Linked DNA regions of Coturnix japonica. The protein of the gene in region 1 interacts with the protein of each later gene in a pairwise test. Links are inferred from orthologs where the notes say so. Each region holds a gene or a part of one and is shown in the gene's direction. Other genes may lie near its edges. The genes, in order: CDC42, MYO9A, PAK3, ARHGDIA, CDC42SE1 and CDC42EP1.

Region 1 (3,958 bases):
TTCACCTTAGACCAAGTAGTTCTCCTCCTGACCCATGCCCTGCAGCAGAAGAAGGGGTTTTGGTGCCTGGCTTGAGACCTGAAGATGGGGATGCTGCAGCCCTGGATTCTCCCTCAGCTCATCTGCATCTTATCTGCCCACAAGGCTTTTGTTACAGCGCTGCCATCAGCCCAGCCCCATCCTGCGGAGCTTCACTCTGGCTGACCGAAATCTTCTCAGAGTCATTGTAGGATTTAGGAAGAAGCTTTTCCCAGCGCACCCTCCCTCACTCAGAGCACTGGGCAAATTAAAAGCAATGTGTTGTTATTATTAGGCCAGGCTATAATTAATTCCTTATCAAGTCACAAGTGCCTCATTTGATAGGGTGCTTCCCCCCCTGCATGTGTTATCACCCCAGGTCTTATTTTACTGCATGTTATTAAATCTGAATGGGAGAAAGTTAATTACTGCATGGGCTGTAGTGCTAATTACAGCAACATCGGAGACCTGTGATTTATGCTTCTCTGGGAGGAAGGTGTTCCTGCCCCAGTTTTATCTGTTTCCCATCATTAAGAACTGTAAGCTGATGTACAAAGGATTGGGGTGATGGCTGCTGCCTCTGCTTGTGGTTTCTTATGTGTGGGGTCCCTCACAAAGCTTATGGAAGGGCCTCTATTAAAGCTAATGGAGGGGTCTCTATTAAAGCTTATGGAGGGGTTTCTATTAAAGCTTATGGAGGGGTCTCTATTAAAGCTTATGGCGGGGTCTCTATTAAAGCTTATGGGGGGGTCCCTGATAAAGCTTATGGAGGGGTCTCTAATAAAGCTAATGGAGGGGTCCCTAATAAAGCTTATGGGGGGGGTCCCTGATAAAGCTTATGGGGGGTCTCTATTAAAGCTTATGGGGGGTCCCTGATAAAGCTTATGGGGGGGGTCCCTAAGTGCCTCTGGCCTATTGGCTGCCTCTTCTTGGCTTAGCCTGCCCCTAATGCAGTTTTGGGTCCATAGGGTGGGAGTTGCATTAGGAACAAGGCACCAAACAGCGGCTGGGAGAGGCCTGGGCTCTAACTAACCCTGCTGGTGACCCACATAGCGGCCTTATCGCCCCTCCGACCCAACCGGCCGCACAGGCCTCGACTGAGCAAACCGGAAGCGCGCTCCGCCTTCTCGTTCAATACGCGATGACGTCACCCGCAGCGTCCCCCCTCCCAGCGCTACGCGATGACGTCACCCGCAGCGTGCCCCTGCGCCTGAAGCCGAGGAGACCCCGCAGCGAGCCGCCAACGCCCGGCGGAGACTCTGAGGTGAGCGGCCGCGGCGGAGCGGGGCGGGAGCGGCGGGCGGGTGTGCGGGCTGCACCGCGCCTCTGTACCGCCATCACACAGCGGGGGCGGAGAACCGGGACCGTGTGGGTGCGGGCTGTGTGTGTGTGGGGCCTCCCCGCCGCTGGGTTGGGGCTGTTGGCGCAGAGCGGGGCTGAGGTGTGTGTGTGTGTGTGTGTGTGTATGGGGGGGAGCGCGGCCTACGCGGCCCAGCTCGGCCTCCTCCTCGTCCTGCCCCCCGCCCGGCACGGAGCGCTGGGCCCTGCGGGTTGTGAGCCCCGCAAGGGAGGAGGGGAAGCCGGAGGTCGGTGCCGCAGGTTGGGCCTGTGCTTCTTCCGGGAGCGCCGCCCAGCTCTGAAGTAGTTCCGAGGCGCAGTTGGGGTGTGGGCTTTGCTTTAGGAACCGCCGAACGTTTCCTTTCCTTCCCTTCCCTCTCCTCCTTCTCCCTATAAAGAGCTGGGAGGCGCTGCCCGGCTTTTGTCTCGCCCAGGTGCTGGGTCATCCGCCGTCCCGTTGATGTATATGGCTGGTTGTTGGCTGCTGTGCTTGGAGGGTTGATGTGGGGGGGGATTTCTCTTCCATCTTTGAGCTCTCTGAGATGAAATATAGTGTGGCCCCTTTCATAGTAGCTTTTCTTGTAAGCTGATGGTGGTGGTGGCCCAGGTGTGTGTGGAATCTGTGCTTGGGGGAGATAAGGATGGTACCTGCCCCATCTGCCTGCAGGCTGCAGAGCCAGCACTGCTATCTAACCATATAGACTGAGCACCATGAAGGCAAGGCCTGGATGAGAGGCTGTGATAGACGTGCAGGCCAAAGTAGTTCAGTCTGTGATTGCATCTGTTTGTATTACTTCTACCATAAAGAAAGAGAATCACAGAATCACAGAATGACCTGGATTGGAAGGGACCTCAAGGGTCATGTAGTTCCACCCCCCCTGCCTGGCAGGGCCACCAAACATACACATTTACTAGATCAGGTTGCCCAGGAGACCCCATAGATCAGGTTGCCCAGGGCTCCATCCAACCTGGGCTTGAACACTTCCAAGGACGGGGCATCCACAACCTCCCTGGGCAGCCTGTGAAAGAGATGCTGGCTTTATTCAAAGTGTTCCATTGGAGCACCCCAAATGGCCTTTTTTTAGAGGAATAATTAAAACCCAGGTTAAGTTTCTAGTGTTTCTAATGGGAGTAAGTCAGTAAAGCACTTGGAGCTTGGCTCTGTTGCACAGGAACAAGTTTAGATAGAAAGGCTTTGTATTCAGGTGTTTATATGTGGAAAATGTGTTGTTCTGGCTTGGAAATGAGTGAGATGATGGGGTGGAGTGTAGGCAAGTCTTCATCCGAAGCAGGTAACGCATGAATGAATCAATATGTTAATGTGTTTAATATTGTTAGTTGTGAAACGACTCTTTGTTCGGTCTGTTTACTGCTTATATGCTGCAGTAATAAGGACGCAAAGCATTTTAAAGCCTTGCTGAGGAATAAAAGCTGCAGGATAAAACACGCTTGCAGTACCAGAAGTGTCTTTAGATGCAGCTTTTAAGTCACCTACAGCCTTGCACACTGCAGCCCCTCAGTCCTTGCTTGCTGTGGCCAGCCCAGCTTTGGCTCCATCCATAGGCATGATGATGAATGTCAACCTACTCCAATTCAGGAGTGTTGGTATATAGGGGTTGTAATTATCCTCACACTTAATACTCAGTTTCTGATGAAAAACCAACAGATATGGAGGTGCTGTTGCATTAAAAGGAAGCGATATGGGTTTCTAGTATGTAGCAGGAGCTCTGCTTACACACTTAGTGCACTGTAGGCTTTGACCATGGCTCCTGTCACCCCGTTATGCTGGAATGCATGTGTCCATGGGTTCTGATCCAAGTTCCTTTAATGTGGAGTGGAAAGCATCAATGAGAAATCTCTTCTGGAACATCATTCCCAACAAAGTATAATCCCTTTATCAGCAGTGATATTGATAGGCCTGAGATAAGCACGCTGCTTCCTGCAGACAGTGTTGGGGCAGTTCCTACGCATGGAGCACCAGCAGCTGAGCCATGCACTGGGTGCTGCAGCTGATGTGCACAGGGTGGCTGCCCTTATGCAAAAGTGCTCACTGTGCTGCTGCCAGTGTCAGCTGTAGTGCTTCTAAATGTGTCTGGCTATAGGGAGGGGAGCTGGGATAAGCAGCCGTGCTTCTCAGGGTTTAATGTGGGATGACTTCTGCCTTCTTCTTTGAGTCCATGTGAAGGTGGTTCCTTTGAGGTCCGAGCAGTGAGCAGATGGGAACCTTGCTGTGCTGTGCCCACTGAGTCACGCTCTGCTTGACCAGGCTTGTTTTGAATGTAGGGCTGTGCAATGGCTGTTGACTCTTTCATTTCTTTTAAGTAGTAGGACTTAAAAGGTGTTATGTTGGCAGTGCTTTAAGCTCAGACTTCTAAAATTCTCCCACTCAGCTGCATTCACTTCCTATCTTGTGTATGTCTGCACTTATCAGCTTGTTGTGACGAGCCCTGCTGAATAGTGTGGTAGCTGTCAGTTCTTAAGTTGCATTAAGCATAGCATATATCAGTCTAAGAGCTGCTTTTTGAGGTGACACCTTGAGCTTCTCCCTTGGTAATTCATAGCAGCTCATCCAGAAAACAAGTTACTTCAAAATGATAGAGAC
Region 2 (4,669 bases), on another chromosome or scaffold:
ACACATTACCACTGCTTCTGAGAATAAATTTTTCCTAATTATTCCACGCTGCTGGCTCATACTCAGCTGACTATCAGCTCATACCCCTTTTCCTCTCACAGATTGCCACCCACTCTGCCCCAGACCTGTAGCAATGCTTGGGGTTGTTATGGCCAAACACAGGATCAGGCCTTTGGTCGTGTTGAAGCTCATCCCATTGGCCTCAGCCCACTGATGCAGCCTGTCCTGATCCCTCTGTAGGGCCTTCCTGCCCCCAGGCAAACCTACACTTCCTCCCATCTTGGTGTCATTGGTGAATTTATTGAGGGTACATTCAGTCCTCTCAGCCAGATTACTGATAAAGATATCAAACAGGACCAGCTACAGTACTGACCCATGGAAATTTGTTTCCATGGAAACAAACAGGAGACATTGCTTTTGGAGCTGTGCATTCTGTCGCTGTTCTCAGGGAATTTCCTTGGTCTTTTTCTTTGCATCCTTGCATGCTGAAGCTCTCAAGCAGAGCAGATCTTTGCACCAGGCAGAGACAGCTCGAGTAAAAACTTTCTGTTTTGTCTTTTCCTTGCCTCCCAGCTGTGTAGAACTCATTGTCATCGAGCAGATGAACAAATACAAGGCTCGCCTCAAGGACATCAACAGCCTGGAGTTTGCTGAGAACAAAGCCAAGAGCCGCCTCTCCTTGATCCGCAGGTCAATGGTGAGATGCTGCACCAGCCCCTGCTGCTCACAGACTCGTGACCCCTTTCCTTCTACAAGGGAATTTGCACCAAAGTGGATATCAGGTGTTCCCATGGTGCATCCATCATAGCTACAGAGAACGTCTGTCTTGCTGCAGGGAAAGTCAGACCACTTTCTGGCTCTGACACAGTCACCTCTCTTTTCTTCTTTCTTCTCCTTTCACTTGAAGCAATCCTGCTTTACCTCTCCTTGCTTATTCCAGCCTCCCCAGCCCCTTGCACCTCCCAAACCATCCCACCCCAGGCAGCACATCTCCCAGACCCATGGCAGCTCCCTGTGTTTTCAGGGAATCCAGCAAAGGCGATGGGAAAGAAGCCTGAGAGAGTGCTCTGTGGAAATGTAGTCACTCAAGCTTGGAGGCTCCTGTTTACATTTCAGTCTTTATCTTGCACGTTTGAGCAATTTGGGTTGAATCCAGCCTCTGCTTACCTTGCTGTCATGCCATGCACAAATGCAAGGGAGACCTGGACTGAAGCAGTCCATAACCACTGGCCTTGTCCTCTTTGTGCTGCTGATGAGCTCACTAACGTGACCTGAATCCAAACTGAGCTCCCTGAGGCTCCCCAACCATCTCATTGAGCTTCCATGCTTCAGGGTGAGCAATAGCTTGCTCTGGGTCCTGCTCGCCCCAGCACACCAGCGGGCTGCTGATGCTATGTGTGGCTTTTTGGCTGTGGGATCAGGAGATACCTGATCCAGACCCATGCTGTGGGGCTGAGCTGCCCGCGGTGGCCCTCAGGGCAGGTCTGGCCCAACTCTGGGGTCATTTTGCCAAGCTTGGGGCTCGGCCATGCACTGGCACCGATACTGCAGGGAAACGCCTCGCTCATCTTGGTTTAGAAAAAGACAAAACCAAACAAAAAACAGTTGTTTTGGAGGGACAATGGCATGTGCGCTCTAACCTTCTGCTTTCCTTTTCATGTCCTCTCTAATCCAGAAACCCGTACTAATTGCAGTTAGATTTATGAGCATAACCCGCAGTTCAATCCCGGTATGTATTCACTGCACAGCGCTCTGTGCCAGCCGTGTCCCTCCGTTCTGTGTGACCGCTGCTCATTCCAGCCCTGTGCCACCGGCCATTGTCTGTGACATTGCCTGTCTTGTCCCCCTGCAGGTGGCTCTCTGGGATGCCCAAGAGCAGCAGCAGCCAAATCTGCCGGGCTTGTACCCCTGCATGCAGCTCTGCGAGAAGTTGCTTTCACCATCACTTCTTAATTTTCTTTTTCCATTCTATGCCTTCCTAACTTTTGCTTTCTTTGATATGTTGCTCCCATCCACAATTCCTGCTGGGGATGTATTTAGGCACGGTGAAGCCATTGCTTTGGCTGCGGTGGGTGAATCCATAGTCATCATATGGCATCTACTGAAATGCTCTGGGCAGCCAGGCTGCTGAACCCCTGATGGTCAGGGCAGCCTCAGATGGATGTGGGGATGCAGCAGCCCTGCACCTCACCACTCTGTCATGGCTTGAGCCACCACAGCAGCAGACTCCCCTTTGACCATGAAAGCTCCTTCTTTTAGAGCAAACCCTACTCTTACCATCAAAAAAGTGTTGTTGCCATCCTCGTTCGAGCCAGCGTTGGACATGCAAGCACTATGACCAAACCCACATCCAACCCACCGGGGAATTTTCCACTTGCAGCAGCTGGGAGAAGAGAGGGCTTTGCTGAAAGCCCACGTGGATGTCGTCACTGCAGCATCCGCTCACTGCTGAGTGCCCCATAGGCAGGGAGAGCAGTACACGAGGCACAGTACACAGGGGATCTTTGGGAGCTCAGGGCTTTTTGCTAATAGGATTCAGGTGGCTGTGCCTCAGCTCAGCAGCCCACGTGATGAGGTTGGCATCAGAGGAACGTTGCTGCGGTGCGCGGAAGCTCCTTTGTGAAAGATCTCCCAGGTGCAACAGCAGGAGATGAAACGGTAAAATGGAGCAAATCTCATGTCTTAGTGCTGAGCAGCAGTGTTTGTCGGGGCTGTAGGATTTAACAGACCTTGCAGGGGGAAGCAGTGCTCAGCATTGCCTCCCACTTGAGCCGTGTCCCGTTGATGTCAATGTAGGTTTGCTTTGCCACTCAAGGAAAGATCCCTGCTTGCATTCCTGATAGCGTTTTGCTTTCAAACTGAAAAATTGAGGCTTTTCTCCCATGTTCTGGGCATGTGGGTTGTGAGGAAGACCAAGGGGTACCTCAGCTACAGTGCTGAAATAGCCCTGTGGGAAGGAAAGCAGCCTATGAGCTGATGAATGAGGCAGAGTGCAGCAAGAAGGGAATTCAGTTTCACCAAGAAACATAATTGTTTGAAGGAAGAGGGCAGCCTGTAGGTGGAGCAGAGGCAAGTGCTGGGTTTTTCAGGTTGCATTCGTGTTGCACTCATCTTTCACTCTGACCAGTTCAGGATCCTGACTTCAGGAGATGAGTTGTGTTCAGTTACGGCAACAGTTAGGATGAAATCTTTTTAATGGCCATGGCGTGCCCACAAAGCACACTACTCCTCAGCATCCTCTGTGTCCAAAAACTGGTATTTCTCTTTCACCCTGTGGAGTAGCTTCTCCAAAGGTAAAGCAGAGGCTGTTTGCACTTGCAGTATTTCTTCATCTATAATACTCCCATCTAAGTCCTTTTTCATAATCAGAAGTTTAAATACTACTTAAAATGCAGGACTCTTCTATTTGACCGTTAGTTTATTTGCTGTTCCCCAACTATTTCTCACCTATTTTTTTTTATGCCATGCTTTCTTCCACCTGCTTAGCAGACCTCTCAAACCTGCTGTGTTGCATCATCCCATTGTATCTTGTAGCTCCCTTTGTGCCAGGGAGGAGGAACCCCCCAGAAAGAGGCTGTGCAAAATAATCATTGCTTGACACTGATGTTTATCTTCAGGGCAAAGGCCGCGTGCGGCGCGGCACCTACCCCAGCCCTACATCCCCTGTGGCCATGCGCCTGCCCTCTGTGTCTGACGTCCCCGAGGAGACTGTGAGCAGCGAGGAGGCCATGGAGCTGGACATGACAGAGCAGCAACAAGCAGCCATGCAGCAGGAGGAGAGGGTGCTGACTGAGCAGATCGAAAGCCTGCAGAAGGAGAAGTGAGTCTGCCCTTGAATTGAAGCTTTGCTTGCTTCTGCACCTTCTGTCTAGAGGTTCAACTTGGGGATGGCGTGATGGCAGTTGGTTCTGGGGTTGGCATGTTGCTCATGGGTTGAGCTGGAAGACTCTTTGCATGCCTCTTGCTTTCCTCCCCCCTTTTTTGGTCCTGTTGGGTCACAGGGTTGGGTTTTGTAGGGAGGAGCTGACATTTGAGATGCTGACGCTGGAGCCTCGTGCCTCTGATGATGAAACGCTCGAGTCGGAAGCCTCCATCGGCACTGCTGACAGCTCAGAAAACCTGAACTTTGACTCTGAAAGAGCCATCTCCGATCGGTCAGGTGAGTCAATAGAACCTGTGATCAGAGGAGTTTCAATGCAGTTGTTCCCCAGCAAAGCTCTGCATAGAGCAGTGTAGTTGAATTAATGAGATTGGTGTTACTTAATGATTAAAACACCCAGGGTCTGTAAATCATTCTGCCCATTGAGTGGATGGGGAGATTAATGCTTCTTTAGGTGTCTTGTCCCAGGTGCTCGGGTTGTTGTTCCTACTGCCTGGACACCAGGATGTCTTTGTGCACGATGTGATGTGGTGGAGGTGGGAACATCTCATCTGGGTTGGGTTGGGTTCTCTCTCTGCTTTGAGTTCCATACGTCCCTGCTGAGCTGGGGAGCCCAGTTACCTCTGAGGACCAACTGCTAACCCTGCTGCACTCCCTGTCCCACAGAGCGAAGTGTAGCACTTAGCTCCCTGCGCCCCATCAAGGCGGAGGGGCCAGGCCGGCTGCGGCGGCACCCCAAGACGCGGACAGATGTTGCGGACACTCCGAACCCATCCCTCGTCTCCTCCT
Region 3 (4,486 bases), on another chromosome or scaffold:
CACTTCTCATTCTTTGGTTGCTGTTTTGTTTCTAGGGCATCAGGAACTGTTTATACAGCAATAGACATCGCCACAGGACAAGAGGTAAGCCCCAGCCTCCCCAGCTGATGTTGCTGCACTCAGTGTTTTCCCCTCTGGCAGGAGCTGGGGATGGGTTCTCAGGGTGCCTGTAGGTCTGTAGCGCACAGGCTCTTCCTCCTCAGCATGGACTGGTGTCAGCCTGCAAAGCGCATCAGCTGCTGTCTTCAGCTTCTCAGAGAAAGCCTTTTATTAGCATTGTGGTTTTCTGTCCCTGTAACTGAACACTTCCTGGGCTGTCTGTTCTCCTGCAACCATTAAGTGGAGGTGCTGATGAGTTCCTGGGCAAGGGTAGTCCTGGTCCCCCTGGGCACTGTCTGTGCCTGAGCTGATGCTTCACCTTTAGCGTCTAAGGGCAGTCCTACGTGATGTGTTTTCTTTTGTCTTCAGGACAGGTCAGTGCTCTCGGTGGTGGTGTTGGTCCCATCCCAGTACTGTTAGTCTGTCATCCCTCAGTGGATGTTTTAGACATCTCTAAGGTTTTCAGGCCTGATTAAAAAATGTTTTTGTTACCCATGTGAATGCATTAGGTTAGAAATATTCCGAATTTCTTTGTTCCCAAACACAGCTGATGAATGAGAATGTGTTGAGTGTGATTTAACTCTGTACTAAAGACTGCCTCTGGGCCTGGCCATAAGTTGGTTAGCAATACCAATTGTAAAACCCAAAGATCTGTGACCACGGGCCTCAGGGAACCCAAGTGGTGGTCACGGTTTCCCCTATTGCTGTGAGGAATAAATAGCTGCGTTGCATTGCTTGCTTTTGGGCACAATTTGTAAGAACAGCCAGAAATAACACAGAGAAGAAAGCGCCGTCCTTCAGAGAAGGGCACCCTGTTTTCATTGCCCAGTACTTGGATGCAACAACAGCTAATGGACGTTGCTCTCATTCGTTCCCAATTTATCCGGAGTATATATAATTATTAAAAATTTCTAACAGTTTTTACGTACTTTCATGGTATTAAAATCATGTGTAGCTTGCAGAAGGTGCACAAAGAATAACGATGGGGTTAACAAGTTAAGGCCATCTTAGAGGAACATAAGCATGGAGAGTGTTAGAGATTTGTGGTTGATAGTCTAAAGATGGTTTTTACAGATTTTATAAGGCAAGGTATACCTATATATCATATGCATTATATATATATATATATATATATAATGACTGTGTGTCCAAAGTGTTACCCAAGCAAGCACAGAAATAGGGTGTTTTGCCTTACTGACTTCCAGTGCCTAATAACAAGACCCCTTGCCACAGCTCTGATACATTGTTCCAAGAACACTCCATGTTGGTTCTGATCTTGTGCAACAGACTATTTGAGCTGATGCATTGTTTCCACTGTCATTTTAGGTGGCCATAAAGCAAATGAATCTCCAACAACAACCCAAAAAGGAACTAATTATTAATGAAATCCTGGTCATGAGGGAAAATAAGAACCCCAATATTGTGAACTATTTAGACAGGTAAGTGATTCTGGTCTTGTCACCAGTGCAGTGTTCTGTGCTTATTTAGGTGGAATATGTTGTTCTGAGAGTATTTTTAAATATTCTGACCAGCCCTACCTTACTAAAACAACTGCTTGGAGCTCCATGACCTCCCTGTTTCTAAGTTGGTCATATTTTGTGCATATAATGCAAATATATCACCATAGAAATTATTCTCTTTGGCTTTTATGGCTGTTTTCCATTGCTGTGGATGCCAGACAGACAAGATTCTTGTTTCCAGACACATGTAATTTGCCAGTTTTTAAGCTGTTTTCCCTATTTCTGGATGTATTTATGTAAGGTTTTCCAAACTGTTGACCATGACTTAGAAGGAACATCCATTCTTGTTATTCTGTCTTCATTTAAAAATGAACTGTTAAGAAAAATAACTGCGGTAATTTTCCTAAGATGATTTAGTTACATTCATCTTAATGAAATCTGCTGTTGTCTTCTTTCAGCTACTTAGTAGGTGATGAGCTCTGGGTGGTTATGGAGTACTTGGCTGGAGGCTCGCTAACTGATGTTGTTACAGAGACATGTATGGATGAAGGACAGATAGCAGCTGTCTGTAGGGAGGTAAGGGATCCCAACTGCACTTCTGATTACCGGGACAGAATGGTACTTCTAAGCAGGTGCGAAGAACGTGAGTGGTGTGTCCAGATCTTTGTTTCTATGTTGCTTTTTTAATATGGGAGAAGAAAAGTGTGTTTAGTGAAACCGCCTGCCAGGATCACCGCCCCATGCTTTGGAATTACACTCTTCTCTCTTTCTAAGTTCTACTGTTCTCAGCTTTGCCTCTTCCAGCGTTGATCTGGAGCATGTCTGCACTGCATCCCTCGCCTGTAAAAGCAGACGTGCTGGAGGCAGAATTTTAAAATAATAAGGAAAATAAGAGACTCATTTATCACAGTCCTCAGCTTAAAAGGGGAGTATTCCACCCAAGGTGGTATTTGCTTCTGAAAAGTGACTAACATGTTATTTCCAAATATGCTGCAGGACGTAACAGTAACATCTTTGTCGTGCAGCCTTCCACCCAAAAGTGATCCGCTTCCTTCTGAAAATGACGTTTTCTTTTTGGCAAATAACAGTTTGTCAAATGGACACGAATGGCACATCCATTTTAACAGCGCTCATTCGGTCTGTGCTTCCAGGGGACAGGCAGTAACAATAACTGGCGTTTCTGTTCCCAAAGTTAATGTGCCTTCATTTAGAAGGTTATTATTCTGGTGGTGTTGAAGCAGCAAGCTATTTCTTCTGACAACGCACTATTCTGCCATTACTGTCAATTCTTCTAGAAATTAAATCTTTTATAGCCATTTCCTCTCTTGTGTGATGAAATCAGGTCATTAATTTTTACCCTTGTGTGTGTGTTTTTTTTATATCTATCAGTGCCTGCAAGCGCTGGATTTCCTTCATTCAAACCAAGTGATTCACAGAGACATAAAAAGCGACAATATTCTTCTCGGAATGGATGGATCTGTCAAATTGAGTAGGTATTCCTGGCCAAGCACAGCTTTCTCGGGATGGGGTGCAGGGCTGCATCTGACTGACTGCCAGTTACACACAGGAGTGCCTGTGATAGCGTACTGAGCACTGCTACAAGCTAGGAGCACAATCCCCACATGTGGAGGAATATGAAAAGGAGGAAGGTGTAATATCTGGCCTTTTTTTGTGCATGCCCTTTGCAGAGACCAGAGTTTATCATCTGAAGTCTTGAGTGTGTAAAAGTCACCGCAGAGCAAACAGCCGTGACCCCTTTTCCAGCTGGGTTCAACAAGACGTTCTTAGGCATAACGTGGGGATCTCTTTTCTTGGTTTTGTAATTCTAGATGGCTTTAACAACACTTGTTTTTGTCCTCAGCTGATTTTGGCTTCTGTGCTCAGATCACTCCCGAGCAGAGTAAAAGGAGCACAATGGTCGGCACTCCTTACTGGATGGCACCCGAAGTAGTGACAAGAAAAGCATATGGCCCCAAGGTTGACATCTGGTCACTTGGGATCATGGCAATAGAAATGGTGGAAGGAGAACCTCCTTACCTTAATGAAAATCCTCTCAGGGTAAGGTACAAATAGAATCAGACACCGCTGTCTTTTTAAGCTGTCCCATGTTTAGAGACGAAATCCCAGTTACATCAGCTTGAACTGGTTCCAGCAAGGACAGCTGGTACAAATGTCACTGGAGCACATCAACATGGCAGAGCACTAACAGAGCGGTAGCATGGAGCCAGTTCAGCAATGTGTTGGTTTTGTGTTAATGATGCAGAATTCCTCAGGCGGTTTGTGAAATCCCTGTTAGCTCCATCTCTGACAGGGATTTTCCTGTGGCAAATTTCTCCAGCTGATGAATCTGTATGAAAAAAGTTTCGGCTCTCTCAGCAGGCAGAAGTATTTCCAAACACAAGTCAGCGTAGATGGGTTACCTTGATTTATACCAACTCTTAAACTGTAAGAGGGGAGGAATGTATACTAAGGGAAACACTCGTAATGGATAAACAGATAAGTGCTACACAGGTATCTCCTGATAGGAGACAGGGATCTGAGGAAATTAATCTTGCATCTATGTACAGACAGGATTTTTGTGAAGGCTGGAACTGATGTACAGCGTGACCCTTAGTTCCTCTCACAGTGGCAAGGCTGCACTCCATCTGGCACCCAGACTCTGTGATGCAGACTGAAAGAGCAAACAACAGCTACAAACAAGTACCTGGCCATGCTATTTAAGAAATGCAGATGGCAAATATACAGACTTTGGTCTTGTATTCTTTCTGAATAAATGCTCCTGGGGCTTCTTGGAAACAGGTGGAGTCTTGCATTTCTGTTTTTCCCAGGCACTGTATCTGATAGCTACAAATGGGACACCAGAGCTGCAGAACCCTGAGAGACTCTCTGCTGTGTTTCGTGACTTTCTCAACTGTTGCCTGGAGATG
Region 4 (4,282 bases), on another chromosome or scaffold:
GTTGAGTCCCTCAGCTCTGCTCTGCCTAGCAGTACGACAGCTCCTCCTGCATGCACCCGACCAGCTCTGTTCTACTCATTCTAGGCTGTAGGAAATGCATTGTTATAGAAGCACGGAGCAGCCTGATGCTGCTGGGAGCCTCCTTTCTCCCTGGCAGAATACTCAGGGCAGCAGCTGAGCACTGTGATGTGAGGCTGCACAATGCTGTGTGCTGGGAGCAGGGTCAGCCGGGCGCAGTGGGAGCACGATGCCATCAGAACACTGCAGCAGAGGGGCTGTGGTGCAGCCAGCTCCATGAGGCTCCTCCAGGCCTCGCTGCACATTTTTCCTGTGCTTCCTTGCAGAGCTGAGACCCAGCCTGTCTTGAGCTGCTGTTTGGAACATTGCTTGCTGTTTCTGGTAACTTTGGGTCAGTTTGAAGAGCCACTTTTCACCCATGGACTTCCATGGGGTGCTCGTGGGGGAGGGAGGGGAGGGGTGAAGTCTGGCTTGGAGCTGAAACTGAGGGCAAAATGAGATTAAGCACTGGAACAAATGCTTGAGTGAGTGTTTGTTGAACACTTTTGGGAGCCTTCAAGCCTGGAAGCTTTCTTGGATGGGAGCCTAAAGGAAATGACTGGTTTCGATATGGATTTTCTAGGGTGAGAGCTACTCGGTTGCTCATGTATGGCATAAGATTTGAATGTAAATTTCCATGGCAATCAGTGCCAGGGACCTGGAGAATCCCTTTCTGCTGGTAGAGCTCAGTCAGGTTTTGATGCCCGCTGCAAGTACCCTTTGTGCACCCATGTTGGTGCCCCAGCCTCCCTGGGAGGTGCTGCCAGCCCAGGGCAGCTCAGATTTGCTCTTGTGTTTGGCTGGGGGTTCACCCACACGGGATCTGACAGCACCTCATCTCAGTGCCAGCATTGAGCTACAGCCCTGGTGCTGTGCTGGAGGCCGCTCTCATACCCTGGATCAGCCATAGTCATCAGGCAGAGATGTGCAACATATCACTCTAATTTGTCTCCTTGGCAGAACATTCCTAATATTTATGGCTAAAAACACCATCTACACATACCTCTGCTGTTGTGCTCTTGCAGCTGTCGCCAGGCTCAAGATGGAGGCAGACACAACTTGTCTTGTGTCACTGCACAATGTGCTCTGTGAGCTGTGTGTGCTCAGTGCCAGCGCTCAGGTTTTTCTCTCCCTGTCTGGGTGACACATTGGGTAGGAATGAAGTCGTTGAGTTAAGGGCTGTTATGTCAGCTAGTTCCAAGAGGAGAAGAGCAAATAGCAGTTGGCTTACGTAGCATAGCCTGTGCTGCAGACTTTGGGTTTTCCTTTACAAGTCAGCATTTCTGGATGTATCCTGGTCTTCTGTGGGGGCACGTGGAGATCAGAATTAAGATCATAGTGTTGATTTATTTGGAAACTGGATGGCAGAGCAAAGAATGCAGTTTTCCAGTCTGAGTCATGTGTGCTGATACACGACTCCAGACAGGAATGCAGAATGGGACGTGGAAATGCCAGGTAATAACGGGAATACCTGCATCCATCTGCACGTCATTTGTGGAGGATTTTGTCTGAGAAGCCTTTCAAAAGTTGTCAGCTGAGTGTTTTTAAGCCCTCAGAGCAGTCCAAGCTGATGTTTGCTGTAGGATCACCCGTAGGGCAGCACTCCTTGTGATGCATCAGGAATTACTGACACTTTTTCCTGGTGTTTTGATGGCTGTTGGACCAGCTCTCAGCTGGGTGTTTCCTGGTTACACTGTGCTCTGGGGCTTACAAAGCAGTGCCAATCTACACACCGGTCTTCAACCCATGTGTTTGCCCAGCTCTGTGACACATATCTTTGGAAAGGATCAGGATGAGGTCAGCTGAGCCAGGTGTCTCCTTCCATTGTAGATTCTGATTGAATTACAAACTGTGAGCTCCAGATTGCAGCTGAGGCTTCTGGCATTTGGGCCAGCGGTGGGGCTGGGCCTGTTCTTCTCCTCACCAGGTTGTACTATGGAGAAGCAGAACTGAACTGGGTTTATTCTGGGCTCAAGCTGATTGCAAGTGAAAGCATCACTGAGCTGTTCATGTGGAGGAGTTGTTTTTTTCTATGGCGTGGGCTATTTCTCTGTTGCAGCTGCTGAACAAAGCACAGAGGCTGATTACTTTTCCCAATCCTCTTGTAAGGGCTGAAAATGGGATCTTGGCTGCCGAGGGCAGGCTGGGGGGGGCACAGGTCCTTGACAGCAATGTGCCTCTGGAGTGGGGAACCTGGTGGGAGAGGGACCTGTGGAGTCAGGGCTGTTTTGGGATGGCTGGTTTATGCCAATATGCAGCAGATAGCTACAGTTAAACGTCTCCTCCCTGCTTCAGTGTAACTCGCGTGTGTGAAGATGGCAGAGCAGGAGCCAACAGCAGAGCAGCTGGCCCAAATCGCAGCTGAGAATGAGGAGGACGAACACTCCGTCAACTATAAGCCACCTGCCCAGAAGAGCATCCAGGAGATCCAGGAGTTGGACAAGGATGATGAGAGTCTGCGCAAGTACAAGGAGGCACTGCTCGGTGCTGTCACCGTGACTGCAGGTGAGCTCCACCTCTGGCTCCCCGGCCTCAGCTCTGCTCCTGTCTGGGAGCTGTTCTCTCCCCAGCTCTTTGTGACTTGGTGTGAGTATAGCCAGGAGCACAAGGGGCAGTGTCTGCCACTATTCAGTGGCCCCTGGAATAAAGCAGTGGGACTGAGGGGTTGTTTTCTGACCTCTGAGGGAGATGTTCTGGGAGAGTGTGTGGGCTGGGTGTAAATCACACAGGTTGGAGCCCTCACTGGTTTTCTCACTCTTTCAAGAACTTCCGTGGAAGGGGAAACGAGTTGCTTGGTACAAGGGCTAGTTGTTTAACAGCCTTTTATTTTTGTCTTCTAGATCCCAATGCTCCAAATGTGGTGGTGACCAAACTGACGTTGGTCTGTACTACTGCTCCTGGCCCTCTGGAGCTGGACCTGACAGGTAGGCTGGGAAACAAAAGCAGCCCTTCTCTGAGTCAACGCTGGTTAATGTGGGGTCTTCAGGGAGGTGTTGCCAAGGCACTGATGCTGTGGTGGGCAGCTCACCTGCATGTCCAAAATGCCTCTTTGCTGGATGCAGAGCCAGGTGCCGTGGTCAAGAGGATTTCCCACCTCAGCTTGCATCTCAGCAGCCCTATCTCAGCAAAGGCCTTTCAGCTTTCTCTATATTGCATGCCTTAGTTTTATAAATGTCTGAGCTGCCAGCTGGGGGAGCCAGCCGTCCTCCAGCCTGCACAGCCGCACTAATAGCAGCTTCAAGATGGTGACAGCTTTGGAGCAGACATTTACAAAGGAACATCCTTGAGTTAAGTGCACTGTTATGCTGCAGTTCCCTTTCTTGGGGGAGCACTTGGCCACCTCAAGTAGCACAAGCAGCATATCAAGGAGAGTCCTGAATTGCAAGAATAAAAGGATAAAATGCATGCTGTACAACCAGTAAGGGTCCAGTCCCCTGCTGCAGATACTTTCCATTTCACCTTTTATAGCTGAAATCCTTTCCAAAGCACGATGCAAATGGACTCAGAGCAATTGTTTACTTTCTGTGTAGGTGACCTGGAGAGCTACAAGAAGCAAGCTTTTGTGCTGAAAGAAGGTGTGGAATACCGGATAAAAATCTCCTTTAGGGTAAGGATTCAGATCTGCAAACTGAACAACTGGTGAAATTTAGAGCACCCGATCACTGCAACTCCATCATAGGGCCCCCAAATAGGTGTGATGGAGGAAATATTTCCCTGCAGTGGGTGGGGTGGGCAGCATGTGGAGATCCGTCTTTGACAGTCTTTGCTTGTCTCTGCAGGTTAACAGGGAGATTGTGTCAGGGTTGAAGTATATTCAGCACACATTCCGGAAAGGAGTGAAAAGTAAGTGCTTCTCTGTGTTTTAGGTACTGCTTTTTGTGAGGGCTTCCTGCTCTTTCTGTTGCTGTGATGGATGCTTTTGTGTGGGTACCCCAGCAACTCAAAGTGGAAAGAGATGTTCTTTAGCAAACTCTCCACTGTGGCAAGGTGTGGAGGTTTCTGGCTGTGCTGCAGGGAGCCACCTGTTGTGCTGGCTCTGCTGTGCCTGAGCTTGGTGTGCACTCACTGCTGGAGACTGGAGTTGAACAGATTGTTGCTGTGTGGACAGCAGTACGAGTGCTGGGTTTTGCTCCTTCTGGAAGGAGCTGTTTCTGGAATGAGTGGAGCTGTTAATGTGGGTGATGTTCTTACAGCTGCTTTTGCTGTTTGTGAATTGTAGTGATCG
Region 5 (5,473 bases), on another chromosome or scaffold:
TCCTCAGCACAGCTGGGCTCTTGTTGGGCTGCCTCGGGTACTTTGGGTGTATAGAGGGACCCCTGGGTCAAACCCAGCCCTTCCAGCTCAGCCAACTCCAGCCTTGGGATGGGCATCCTCCAGTAGATGAAGGAGTCGTACTGAGTGCTGATGGTGTCCAGCATGGTGGCGCTGTGGGGGGAGAGGAGGAAGGGGGGGGGGGTATCAGTGGGTGAACCCCAGCTTGAACTGTAGCTGATGGAGGGGGCAGCCCCCACCCCACCCTGCACACAGGGGTTCCCAATAGCCCCACAGCTGGGGGCAGGGAAAGGGGATGGAGGGAGAAGGAGAAAAAGGGGATTGAGGTGGGGAGGAGGAATAGAGGGGATGGAGGGGGAAGGAATAAAGGGAATCCATGCAGGGGGGAGGACAGGAGCCAGGTCCCACATGAGACCCTCCCCAACAAAAGGCTCTACTCCCATTTGCTTCCCTCTGTGCATCTCCCCCCCCCCCCCCCCCCCCCCACTGCATTCTGCTCCCCCCATATGCCCCCATTTCATGCCCTGAATCCAAAGAGGTGACCCAGGTACCCCTCTGAGCCCAGCCCTATATCGGGGCGGGGGGAGGGGGGCGGCTATATTTAAGCTCCCCCACGGCTTTGGGAGGGCTACAAAAGGCGTGTGTGTGAGCACAGCGCTTTAAATAGCCGCCTCCTTTGGGAAGGGTGGGGGGGACACACACGAAGGGACACAGCCCGGAGCGATGGCGATGAAAAATAACCAGCACCAAAGCACTAGAAACAACCCCCCCCCGCCCCAAAACCCGAACCCTAAAAGGTCCGACCCATCCCTAATTGTAATGAACATCACTGGAACGAGGTGACCAAAGCGCAGAGCACCCCCTACCCCGGACCCCCACCCACCCATCAGGGCTGTTACCTGCGCTGGGCTCTTTGGGGGGGGCTGCGGGTCGCCGAACCTCTTTGTGTCTCCGCAACCTTCGCTCTGCGGCGTCGCTTTTGTCTGTTGGCGCAGCCGGGTCTGCAATGCAGCCCCTCGCAGCGAACCACCGTGGGGGTGGGAGGAGTGGGGGGGGGGGGGGGGGGGGGGGGGGGGGCGTGGGCAGATGAGTCAGCAGCCCCCACCCGCGTGGGGCGGACAGATGATGGAGGGATGGAGGCGGCCCACCTGCCATAGAGCACGGTGCCCTTATGGGGGGGTGCAGATGAGGCTGTGGGGTGCCCGTGGGTAAGAGTGGGGAGGGGGCCGGGGGGGGCCGTGGCCCTCAAAAGGCTTCACAGGTCGGGGTGCGGCTGACACGTTTCTGCTTTGATTCATTTCAGTTTTGGTCCAGAAAAGAGACACTGAGGCAGAAAGGTGAGCGGCCCGGCAGGGTGGGGGGCTGCTTCCATCTGCTTCCAGCCTGAGTGAAACGCCCCCCCCCCGCCCCAATGAGCCCCCCCCAGCTCTGCTGGGCACCCCAAGTCTCACAGAGCCACCCCCACTCCTTACCGACACCCCCAAACCCCCAACTCGGCTCTGCTGAGCTGTGCTGGGTGACCCCCAGCTTTGCTGAGCCCCCAAATCCCGCTGGGATCCCCCCATCCTTAACAGCCCCCCCCCGGGCCCCCCAACCCAGCTCTGCTCAGCCTCCCCAGCCCTCCCTGCACCCCAAACCCTCACCTACAGGGACCCGACTGCCCCCAGGCCCCCCTCATCCTCACCGGGTGCCCCCATTCCTTAGCAGCCCCCTAGGGCCCCCATCCTGCCCTGCTGAGACCCCCAGCTCTGCTGGCCCAATGACTCCTTCCACCCCCATCAGCCCCCCCCCTCTGATCCCCAGGACTCCCACCTTTGTCCTGTGGGATCTCCCAACCCTTTGCAGCCCCCCGAGGACCCCCAGCCCCATCAGTGCCCCCCCAGCCCTGCAAAGCCCCCCTGTGGGGGCTCTCAGCTTCGTTCTGCCCCCCAAATCCTGCCAGACCCCCCTAGGACCCCATCCCTGCTGAGCCCCCACCTTTGCTGGCCCCAAATCCCCTCCAACCCCCATCTGTACCCCCAAACCCCTTCAGTGCCCCCCAACTCCCCCCCTTGTCCCCTCATCTCCCTCCATCCCCCACGAGTCACCCCACGACCCCACAACCCCCCCCGTTCCGTGTCCCCCCCCTTCCCCCCCTCCCGGCCTGCAATGCTCGCTGTGTCCGGGGTTGGAGCTGCGTTCCGCTCTGTGCCGCTCCGGGCCGCGCCGCGCCGGGTGGAGGCGGAGGAGGCGGAGGGGCAGCGGGGCAGCGCGGCGTCCCGGAGCTGCGGAACCACGGCGGAGCGAAGCCAGGTGGGCGGCGGGCGGGGGGCGCCGCGGAGACACCGGGAGGGGGGAGCGGGGCGGAGGGAGCGGGGCTGAGGCCTACAGGAGTTGATGGGGGGGTGAGGAAGGCCTGGCGGAAGAGGGCCCGAAAAATACCTTGTAATGAACCCCCTCGCCCCCAAAGAGAGCGGTGTGCGGTGGGACCCCCACGGGGGGTGGGGTGAGAAGCGCAGTAGGGCGCTCCGTAGCCGCCCCCCACCCTACCATCCCCGCTGGGCCCTATAGGGCCGCCCCACGGCGAGCGGGCCTCGCTGGGCCGGGCACGGAGGATCGCTGCGGATTGAATGCCTTATCGCGGGGGTCCTTAACGCCCCCAACCCCAACGCTGCCCCTTCGATGTTTGGGGGGGGGCACCCCCTCGTCTGCCCCCCGGTTGGAGTTTGGGGGGCGGTGGGGGGGAGGATCCTTCGGTGCTGGGGGTCGGCAGTGCTGCCCACGTTACGCTTCATGGTCCTGCCCCCCCCGACCCTAACGCGACCCCTGTGAGCTGAGGGAACCCCCTGGGCAGCACCTTGTTGGAGTATAGGGAGGGGACACCCCAAAGCCGGAGAGTGGGAGCGGTTCCCGTGTCACCCCCTCATCCTGGGGGTCCTGAGCCCCCGATCCGGTGTGTCCCCCCCCCATCAGAGCCCCCTGCCCTCTCTGAGCGTGGGGGGGTTGAGGGGTCGGGCCTTTTATTGAAGTTTTGGGGTTCTGGAGTCCGTGGGAGTGCCCCGATCCGTCCATTCCCCCCTCCCCCCCCCTCGGTGACGCAGAGCGGCTGAGCGGTGCTTTCCCAACCGGGAAGTCATTTTGTGAGTGCCGGCCTGGGTCTGCCCGAAGGCATTTCGCCCCCCCTCACGCCCCCAGTGACATTGGTGCCATTTCCCCTCACAGACCCCAAAGCTTTGCACACAGGCCGGGTGCAGCTCATTGCACAGTTGGGCTCAGGAGACCTCGAGGTCTGTGAGCTCACCCTCAGTCCCCCCCCCACAACCAGGGAAGGGAAGGCCCTAAGGCCTGGCTTTTGGGCTCTGTGTTTGGGGAGGGGGCTCCTGGTGGGTGCCCACCCCAAAGGCAAGAAGTGTTGGTTGTACTCTGCTGGACTTCAGACTGAGTTGCTGCCGGGCTGTCCTGCAGAGCAGAGCTGTGCCCCCCCCTCCATCCCCCCAACCTTGAGCCCCTCCATTTCACCCCCCCCCCCCCAACTCCGGGGCTGTTTGTTGCACTCTCCTGTTTGTTTCTTCCCCCGCCCCGTTCGCTCTCTGAGCCGAAGCGGAAGAGCTCAACCTCCGGTCCCTGTTCAGAAAGGCAGCTGTATTTATAGCTCCTTTCTAAAGGGGGGGGGGGAGGAGGGGGTGCTGCAATTCACTGCCATGTGTGCCCCCATCCCATGGCAGCATCCTCTCCTTGTCCTGCACTGGGGGCAGAGGGGACACCCTGTGTGCCCATAGGTGTCTGCTCAGCATGTTGAGGCTCAGATTAGGGCTGTCAGGACAGCAGCTGCCCCCACCCCTTCCCAAGCACTTCAGTTTCCCTGCAGTACCTCCCTGGGTGACTCCACACCCCTCAGCACGACCCCCCTGTGCTGCGGTGCCACTTGGGGACAAATCCTTCTCGTTGTCCCCATCTCAGGTGCCTTCCCTGCTGAACAGGTGCCTCCCCCCACCCGTTCCCATGGAGTGAGAGCACACGGGGGTCTCTGCAGCGCCGCAGCCCCCACCCCGCCGGGAGCAAAGCTGGAAGGCACCGCAAATATGAGCGACTTCTGGCACAAGCTGGGCTGCTGCGTCGTGGAGAAACCACAGCCTGTGAGTAGCTGCAGCTTTGGAGACGGGGGTGGTGGTGGGGGGTGATCCTGGGTGCAGGGGGGGCTGACAGCCTTCATCTCTATGCAGAAGAAGAGGAGGAGACGAATCGACCGCTCCATGATTGGTGAGCCCATGAACTTCGTGCACCTGACTCACATCGGCTCCGGAGATATGGCTGCGGGCGAAGGGATGCCCATGGTACGGCCTGGGGCTGACAGTGAGCAAGGGTGGGTGGTGGGGCTCAGCATGGGGGTGCTGTGATCTCAGCCCTGCATGGTGCTGGCTTTCAAGGGGGCTGGGAGCCCTTGGGGGTGGTGTGATGGGGGTTTTCTGCTCGGTGCTGGGTTGGTGACAATTTGTTGTGGTGGTGAAACGTTTCTCCCCTCCCTGCAGACGGGTGCTGTGCAGGAGATGAGGTCCAAAGGAGGACGGGAGCGGCAGTGGAGCAGCTCCCGTGTGTTGTAGCATGTGAGTACGCAGCCATGGCAGGAGCTGGGCAGCCCCGAGCGCCCGCTGTCACCACCTAAAGCACGCTGCTAATTAACACATCTAATGAGCTGGGCAGTTTTGTAACCTCTCATCTCCAACTTTTCAGATTTCTGGCTCTTTCAGCCCAAACTTGAACTGCCTGATCCCCACACCGGAGGAAAAGCCAACCTCAAGCGCTTGATTCCCGTGGTAACTTATGCAGGCGGAGCTGCGCGGCTGGCTCTGGGTCATCCCCCACAGATCCTCCCCCCTTCCCCGGGGCACCGGGCCGGCCAGGAGAGCGCTGTCCCTCCCTATGGGGCAAGCAGAGCAGCCCAGCCCACAGCGGGAGACGCCGTGCACAGCCCTCATGTGCCAAATCCCCCCCCTTCTCCCTTCCCCACACCCCAGCTGGCACCGCTGTCTCCCACGGGCCCCTCTCGGCGCTGCCCCCCATGCCTCAGTTTCCCTTGGGACCGCAGTAGGGCGGGTTGTGCTGCAGGGGCTGAGCTGGGGAGGCATCACAGAGCCCCAGAGCCCCAGCATTGGGCATCCTGCAGCTCCAGCGCTGCCAGCAAGCCTGCCTTTCCTCCAGCCTTCAGCCGGCATCGCCACCAGCCAACCTCCGCCTTCCTTCTTTTTTAGGATTTTTTTTTTTTTGGGGGGGAGGGGGTTGTTCTGTGTTTTGTTTCTTTTTTAAAGCTCTAAAATCCTCCCATTTGGCCTCTCCTGTTACCGCTGGGCTTTTACCAGCACCAGCTGCTCCCCCAAGAAGGAGGGACTCTCAGGTTCCGAATTCAGGTGCACGTGTACATAGTTTAAATAGCGCCGGGGCTGAACAGGAACCAGCAGATGCCGGAGCCAAGCGGGGC
Region 6 (4,948 bases), on another chromosome or scaffold:
ACCCTTTCCTGAAGGGTTTGTCTTAGTAGCGAAAAGCAGGGAGAGGTTTCTCACCCCTGTGGGGCAGGGCATGGGGAAGAAATCCTCAGCCAGGATTGCAGCGGGCAGAGGGAAGGGCACATTCTTGGGGACGCTTCCCCACAGCCATTCAGCCCCACTGCTCCCAGGGGGAAACCCAGTGAGTCTGTGAGAATCCTCTCCAAGGGCTTCACCTTCCTTCTTTTCTTCTTTAAGGAATCAAGGAGCTCTACCTGCCACGCTGCAGCTCCCAGCACCCAACTCTGCACCAGCTTCCAACATCAGATCAGCTTCCAGCAGCATCTGGGGTGACCACAGACCCTCTTGGGGACACGTGCTTGCCACCACCATCACTGTCACCGGGTGAGAAAGTTCCCTGAAGGGATTCATCCCTGCCAAGGCTACAAGACATCCCCACGCTGGGTGACTCCATGAGCGTAACGTAGGGCAGGGACACGGATGCAGGCAGCATTGCCACCAGCTCAAAGCCAAGGCAAGGCGAGTCGCTCCCCCTGGTGATGGGGATGTGACGGGCCATCCCGTTGCTGGAAACTGGCCTTTGATTCTTTGGAAGGCGAGGAAACAAGGAGGATCAAGATGAGCCTGGGGAAGCTGCCAGTGCTCAGCTGGGTGTCGGGCTCCCATGGCAAGCGGCGGCTGAAGTCGGAGCTGACGCCGGACATGATCAGCCCACCACTGGGGGACTTTCGGCACACCATGCACGTGGGGCGTGGCGGTGATGTCTTTGGGGACACCTCCTTCCTCAGCAACCATGGTGGGGCTGAGCCAGCCAAGGCCAATAACTTCTTTGCCCGCACGCTGCGGCACGTCCGACGGACACCGCAGAGGAGACGGGGCAGCGGGAGCAGCCAGGCAGGGGCATCACCTGAACCCCCGGCCATTTCACCCATCATCAAGAATGCTGTGTCGCTGCCACAGCTCAACGAGGCAGCGTATGACAGCGACAGTGGTTTGACCAGCAAGTTCTCCTTCAAGAGTGCCTCAAACAGACTCTCCAAAGCACACCAGACCTACGGTGAGTGCAGCATTGGGGTGGTGGCTAGGCCCCAGCTGCCCTTATGTCCCACTGTGGCAATGCTCATGCCACGGCACAGCCATCTCCACCTCCATACTGAAGCCCCCAGCAGCCCCCAGCTGTCCCAATCCCTCCATCTCTATCTGTCCCTCGAGGGTCTTCATCCCTCCCTTTCCTGCTGTTCATCCCACTGGCCAGCATTCAGAAAGGCCCCATTTGGAAGGGCTGTGGATGGGTGGATGGGACAGCCAGGGGCTGTGACTCAGCTTTTCTCCAGGGGCTGAGGCAGAAGGTTTCAGGAGGGTCTGGGTGCCTGTGGCAACCAAGGGACATGGCTGGGCTCAGAGGGAAAGGCAAGCTGAGGCAATGCTGCCATCTCCTGGTCCCACCCACCCGGCTCCATTCCCATCAGCCTTTTACCGTGCCTGCTGCCCACCAGAAGACCACAGCTCTGGGCTTTGGAGATAGCACCCTGGGCTGCACTAGTGTGATGTCACTGGGCCCTGTAAGGGAGGTAACCTGGCCGGTGCCACCAACCTGTGCTGGCATCAGCATCCTTTGTCCCGTGGCCATGTAGGCTTTGTTCCACCATAGCACTCTGGCTGTGCTCATCAACCGACACTTCTTTGCAGGGCTGGAGTCTGGATTTTGCACCATCCCTCGTGTCCCTCGCCTGGAAAAGGCCCAGGAGAGCACCTTCCCTGGGGAAGAAGAGCTGGAACGCTCAGACTCCCTGCTCTCCTTCCGCCTGGACCTGGGGCCCTCTCTCATGAGCGAGCTCCTCCAGGTGATGAGCTTCTCTGAAACCAATGGGAACGAGGTAGCAGAGGATGGCCGAGACCCACCTGGCAGCTGTGTGCTTCCACATGGTGAGGGGACCAAGGACGGAGTCCCTCCAGGACCAAACACATCCCATGGAGAGCTGAAGGCAAAACCCAGCTTCTGGGACAACGCTGGGCAAGCCAACTCACTTCTGGGATTGTCCATCCGTGCCAATGGAGAGGCACGTGCCATTGAGCAGCGCAAGGAGGACCCAGCACGAGCCTCAGGGCTGGGGGCAGTGCCCGGAGGGACCCTATGGCAGGGGCACTGGAACGACTGCTCCATTGAGGCAGGGGAGTTCGAGCGGGCAGCCCAGGTCCTGGCTCGCCATTATGGGGGGACAAGCACCCCACGCAGCTCAGAGAAGGGCGAGGGTGCTCGGCAAGGCTGGACACGGGCTGCCTGGGAGAGCCCCAGCAGCAACTCATGGCGGCCACAAGTGTCAGCAGCCAGACAGTCTCCAGAGGACACCTGGGACCAAGGAGAGGAGGAGGATGAGGAAGACGAGCTCCCCAGCCTGCAAGAGGGGCACGTTGGCACCCGGGGGGGGCGCAGCAATTCCTTTGAGTATGCCGACGAGGAGGAGGAAGACGATGAAGTCAAGGTGTGAGTGGCCATCCCACCATCGTGGCCCCACTCCCAAAGACATTAGTGCTGCGGTCATCACACTCCTCGTTACCCCCCACCTCTGGTGACAGACCCAGCAGGCAACTTCCTGGCCTTCACCATAGGGCAGTGGAGTATAAGGTGGGCAGAAGGGGGCCCCATCTCCTGCAGGACCCCCAGGTCTGGCAGGGTGCTGCAGGGATGGGTGAGGGCCGTGCACTGCAGTGTGCCATGCTACAGCCCTTCCCCTTCCCCATTAGGTGCCAAAAGGACATTCCCGTGTGCCAAAGAAACCCTTGAGCCCCTTCCCACCCCAGCCCACATCCCCCCACAAGCAAACAGCTTGCTCAGGAAAGGAAGCAACAGTGACAGACAGGAATCAGAGAGAGAGCTCACAGACACTGAGCTTGATCCCTGATACAAAGCCCTGCCCCGAGAAGGCAGTGGTGGCCATGGAGGTGGCAGTGGCTGCACCAGGCACCCAGCCAGCATTCCTCTCGGGGGACCTTCCCCTCACCTTATGCTGCTGGACATCACTGAGGAAGTCTCTTTGTCCAACCCTCGCAGCAAGGAGGGGGAGAAACGTTGTGGTTTGCCAGAGGTGAGACTGTCTGGCTTCCAAATACTGCCTTAAAAACTCCCTTTCCCTTCAACCCACCTCACAACAAGGAGACTCCCTCTCTGCAGCCATTATTCCCCACCCTCATCCCTCTACCCACCCCCCCCTCACACACACACACACACCCCTCTTTGCAGAGTGCCTTGTCTCAAGGACATGCATGGAGGATGCTCAGTGCTGTTCTCTGAGCATCCCCGGGTGATGGAGCCACCCTAGGACAAGCGGCCTCCATGCCACCCAGCACAGAAGCGCCTTTGTGCCGTGGTGTGGAGCCGAGATGTTTGGGGGCTGAGGTCACCAGAGGGACCCTCACAGCACCCTCCTTGTTCTCTGGAACAGACGGGGGTGTGCAGTGGGGGGAGATGCCATTGGGTTGCGCTCCTACGTGGCTCACCCACTGCCCAGTCCTTTAGCAGAATAAAGAGGCTCCAGCATGCACGTGCTGTATGTGGGAGCCAGGCAGTCATTGCAGGCAGGTTAAGGGCAAGCCCTCCTCCCTCAGCACCCCCAGAGCAGTGCCAGCACGTTCCCAGTTCCAACCACCAGCACTCAGCAGGGCCATGCAGGGTCAGCATCCAGCCTGTGCCAGGGAGACGGCTCTCGGGATGAGCTCCCTGTTCTCTGCTTCTTGGACTGTGGTACAGGCTCCAGACCAAAGACCCACATCTGTGGAACAGCCTTTCTGCCTCCACTCTGTATCCCTGCACTTATGATTGTCCTTATTAAAGCAGTTTTGATACTAACTTCTCTGGTGCATTCCTCCCTCAGTTGTAGTGACCTTGGCATCTTCCCTTGCCACTTTGGTCCCAGCCACTCTGATCCCAGCACCTCTCCTCCTATGGAGAAGGCTGCAGTGAGGGAGCTTATAAGCAGGAGGTGGACTGATTCTACACAGTGTGATAGTGATAGGACAAGGGTGAATGCTTTTAAACTAAAATAGGGAAGATATAGAACTGATGTTAGGAGGAAAACTCATCTCAAAACCACTCAAAAAAAGAGTGGTGAGGTGCTGGCACAGAACGTTCAGAGAAACTGTGGGTTCTCCATCCCTGAAGGTTCACGGCCAGGTTGAATGGGGTCCTGGGCAGCCTGAGCTGATAGGTGTCATCCCCGCCTATGGCAGTGGGGAGGAACTGGATGATCTTTAAGGCCCCTTCCAACTCAAGCCATTCTGTGATTCCATGATTCATCCAAAGCTTTCTGTTTAACATAAACATCGCTTACACATTGACCAGTGAGGGCAAGGAGGTGATGCTTTTCCTCACATTCAGCCTCCTCCTGCCCTTCCTCCCAGCGCTGTTAGAGGCACTGCAATCTCTCTGCTTCCTCATTTTCTGCATATTTCATTCTCCCTCCCCAGGGACACTGGGAACAGGACTGACCCAGCACACTCCAGGCCTGCCTGCAACTGGCATGATACTTCTTAATTAGATCAGCAGCATCAGATAATCAAGCGCTAATAGCCTGAGGTCCCATGTGAGAGACACAGGTGGGAGCTGCCTAACCCACCTAAAAACTCTCCTCCTTCCCTACCACTCTCCCCTGCCTCACTTTCCCTCCAAAAAGGCAATGTTGGAGTAATGGGTAACTCATCTGGAATGCACCAGCAAATAAGTGAGGTGAGATAAGGGGAAAAGCCAGAGACAACCCCTTATCACTGCAGGAATGCCAGTATTGGGGCACGCCTGTGTTCCCATCCCCACATAGCCTGGCATTATACCAGCAGAAGGGCACACAGCCCTTCCATCTATCTATCAAAGCAAGCAGCCAAGAGGAAATGGTGAACAAATGCCCTGAGGTTCCCAAACCTAATGTTTAATTATGCACTTTTGTGGTACCAAATGCCA

What was found.
Region 2: the proteins of CDC42 (region 1) and MYO9A interact in a two-hybrid assay, tested with the Homo sapiens proteins (3 studies listed by BioGRID and IntAct). The link is inferred for Coturnix japonica from reciprocal best matches to the Homo sapiens genes CDC42 and MYO9A.
Region 3: the proteins of CDC42 (region 1) and PAK3 interact in a two-hybrid assay, tested with the Homo sapiens proteins (2 studies listed by BioGRID and IntAct). The link is inferred for Coturnix japonica from reciprocal best matches to the Homo sapiens genes CDC42 and PAK3.
Region 4: the proteins of CDC42 (region 1) and ARHGDIA interact in binary tests that used the Homo sapiens proteins (3 or more experiments, as listed by UniProt). The link is inferred for Coturnix japonica from reciprocal best matches to the Homo sapiens genes CDC42 and ARHGDIA.
Region 5: the proteins of CDC42 (region 1) and CDC42SE1 interact in binary tests that used the Homo sapiens proteins (3 or more experiments, as listed by UniProt). The link is inferred for Coturnix japonica from reciprocal best matches to the Homo sapiens genes CDC42 and CDC42SE1.
Region 6: the proteins of CDC42 (region 1) and CDC42EP1 interact in binary tests that used the Homo sapiens proteins (3 or more experiments, as listed by UniProt). The link is inferred for Coturnix japonica from reciprocal best matches to the Homo sapiens genes CDC42 and CDC42EP1.

The regions. Positions count from the first base shown.
Region 1 is NC_029536.1:5,530,743-5,534,700, reverse strand, and holds the start of CDC42 (cell division control protein 42 homolog), read left to right. Parts: upstream 1-1,158; 5' UTR 1,159-1,282; intron 1,283-3,958. UniProt on the Homo sapiens protein: Plasma membrane-associated small GTPase which cycles between an active GTP-bound and an inactive GDP-bound state. In active state binds to a variety of effector proteins to regulate cellular responses. Involved in epithelial cell polarization processes.
Region 2 is NC_029525.1:802,198-806,866, reverse strand, and holds part of MYO9A (unconventional myosin-IXa), read left to right. Parts: intron 1-573; coding exon 574-697; intron 698-1,675; coding exon 1,676-1,729; intron 1,730-3,617; coding exon 3,618-3,820; intron 3,821-4,016; coding exon 4,017-4,159; intron 4,160-4,546; coding exon 4,547-4,669. UniProt on the Homo sapiens protein: Myosins are actin-based motor molecules with ATPase activity. Unconventional myosins serve in intracellular movements. Regulates Rho by stimulating it's GTPase activity in neurons.
Region 3 is NC_029519.1:12,632,184-12,636,669, reverse strand, and holds part of PAK3 (serine/threonine-protein kinase PAK 3), read left to right. Parts: intron 1-35; coding exon 36-84; intron 85-1,425; coding exon 1,426-1,538; intron 1,539-2,017; coding exon 2,018-2,135; intron 2,136-2,948; coding exon 2,949-3,048; intron 3,049-3,420; coding exon 3,421-3,617; intron 3,618-4,387; coding exon 4,388-4,486. UniProt on the Homo sapiens protein: Serine/threonine protein kinase that plays a role in a variety of different signaling pathways including cytoskeleton regulation, cell migration, or cell cycle regulation.
Region 4 is NC_029533.1:4,453,626-4,457,907, forward strand, and holds part of ARHGDIA (rho GDP-dissociation inhibitor 1), read left to right. Parts: intron 1-2,352; 5' UTR 2,353-2,372; coding exon 2,373-2,562; intron 2,563-2,897; coding exon 2,898-2,981; intron 2,982-3,587; coding exon 3,588-3,664; intron 3,665-3,836; coding exon 3,837-3,900; intron 3,901-4,282. UniProt on the Homo sapiens protein: Controls Rho proteins homeostasis. Regulates the GDP/GTP exchange reaction of the Rho proteins by inhibiting the dissociation of GDP from them, and the subsequent binding of GTP to them.
Region 5 is NC_029540.1:2,207,495-2,212,967, reverse strand, and holds the start of CDC42SE1 (CDC42 small effector protein 1), read left to right. Parts: upstream 1-2,172; 5' UTR 2,173-2,310; intron 2,311-3,957; exon of another isoform or gene 3,958-3,977; 5' UTR 3,978-4,079; coding exon 4,080-4,133; intron 4,134-4,220; coding exon 4,221-4,331; intron 4,332-4,526; coding exon 4,527-4,598; 3' UTR 4,599-4,601; intron 4,602-4,728; 3' UTR 4,729-5,473. Other genes in the region: MLLT11 (protein AF1q), read right to left, coding at 1-164. UniProt on the Homo sapiens protein: Probably involved in the organization of the actin cytoskeleton by acting downstream of CDC42, inducing actin filament assembly. Alters CDC42-induced cell shape changes.
Region 6 is NC_029516.1:46,737,499-46,742,446, reverse strand, and holds the end of CDC42EP1 (cdc42 effector protein 1), read left to right. Parts: intron 1-234; 5' UTR 235-615; coding exon 616-1,054; intron 1,055-1,686; coding exon 1,687-2,486; 3' UTR 2,487-3,844; downstream 3,845-4,948. UniProt on the Homo sapiens protein: Probably involved in the organization of the actin cytoskeleton. Induced membrane extensions in fibroblasts.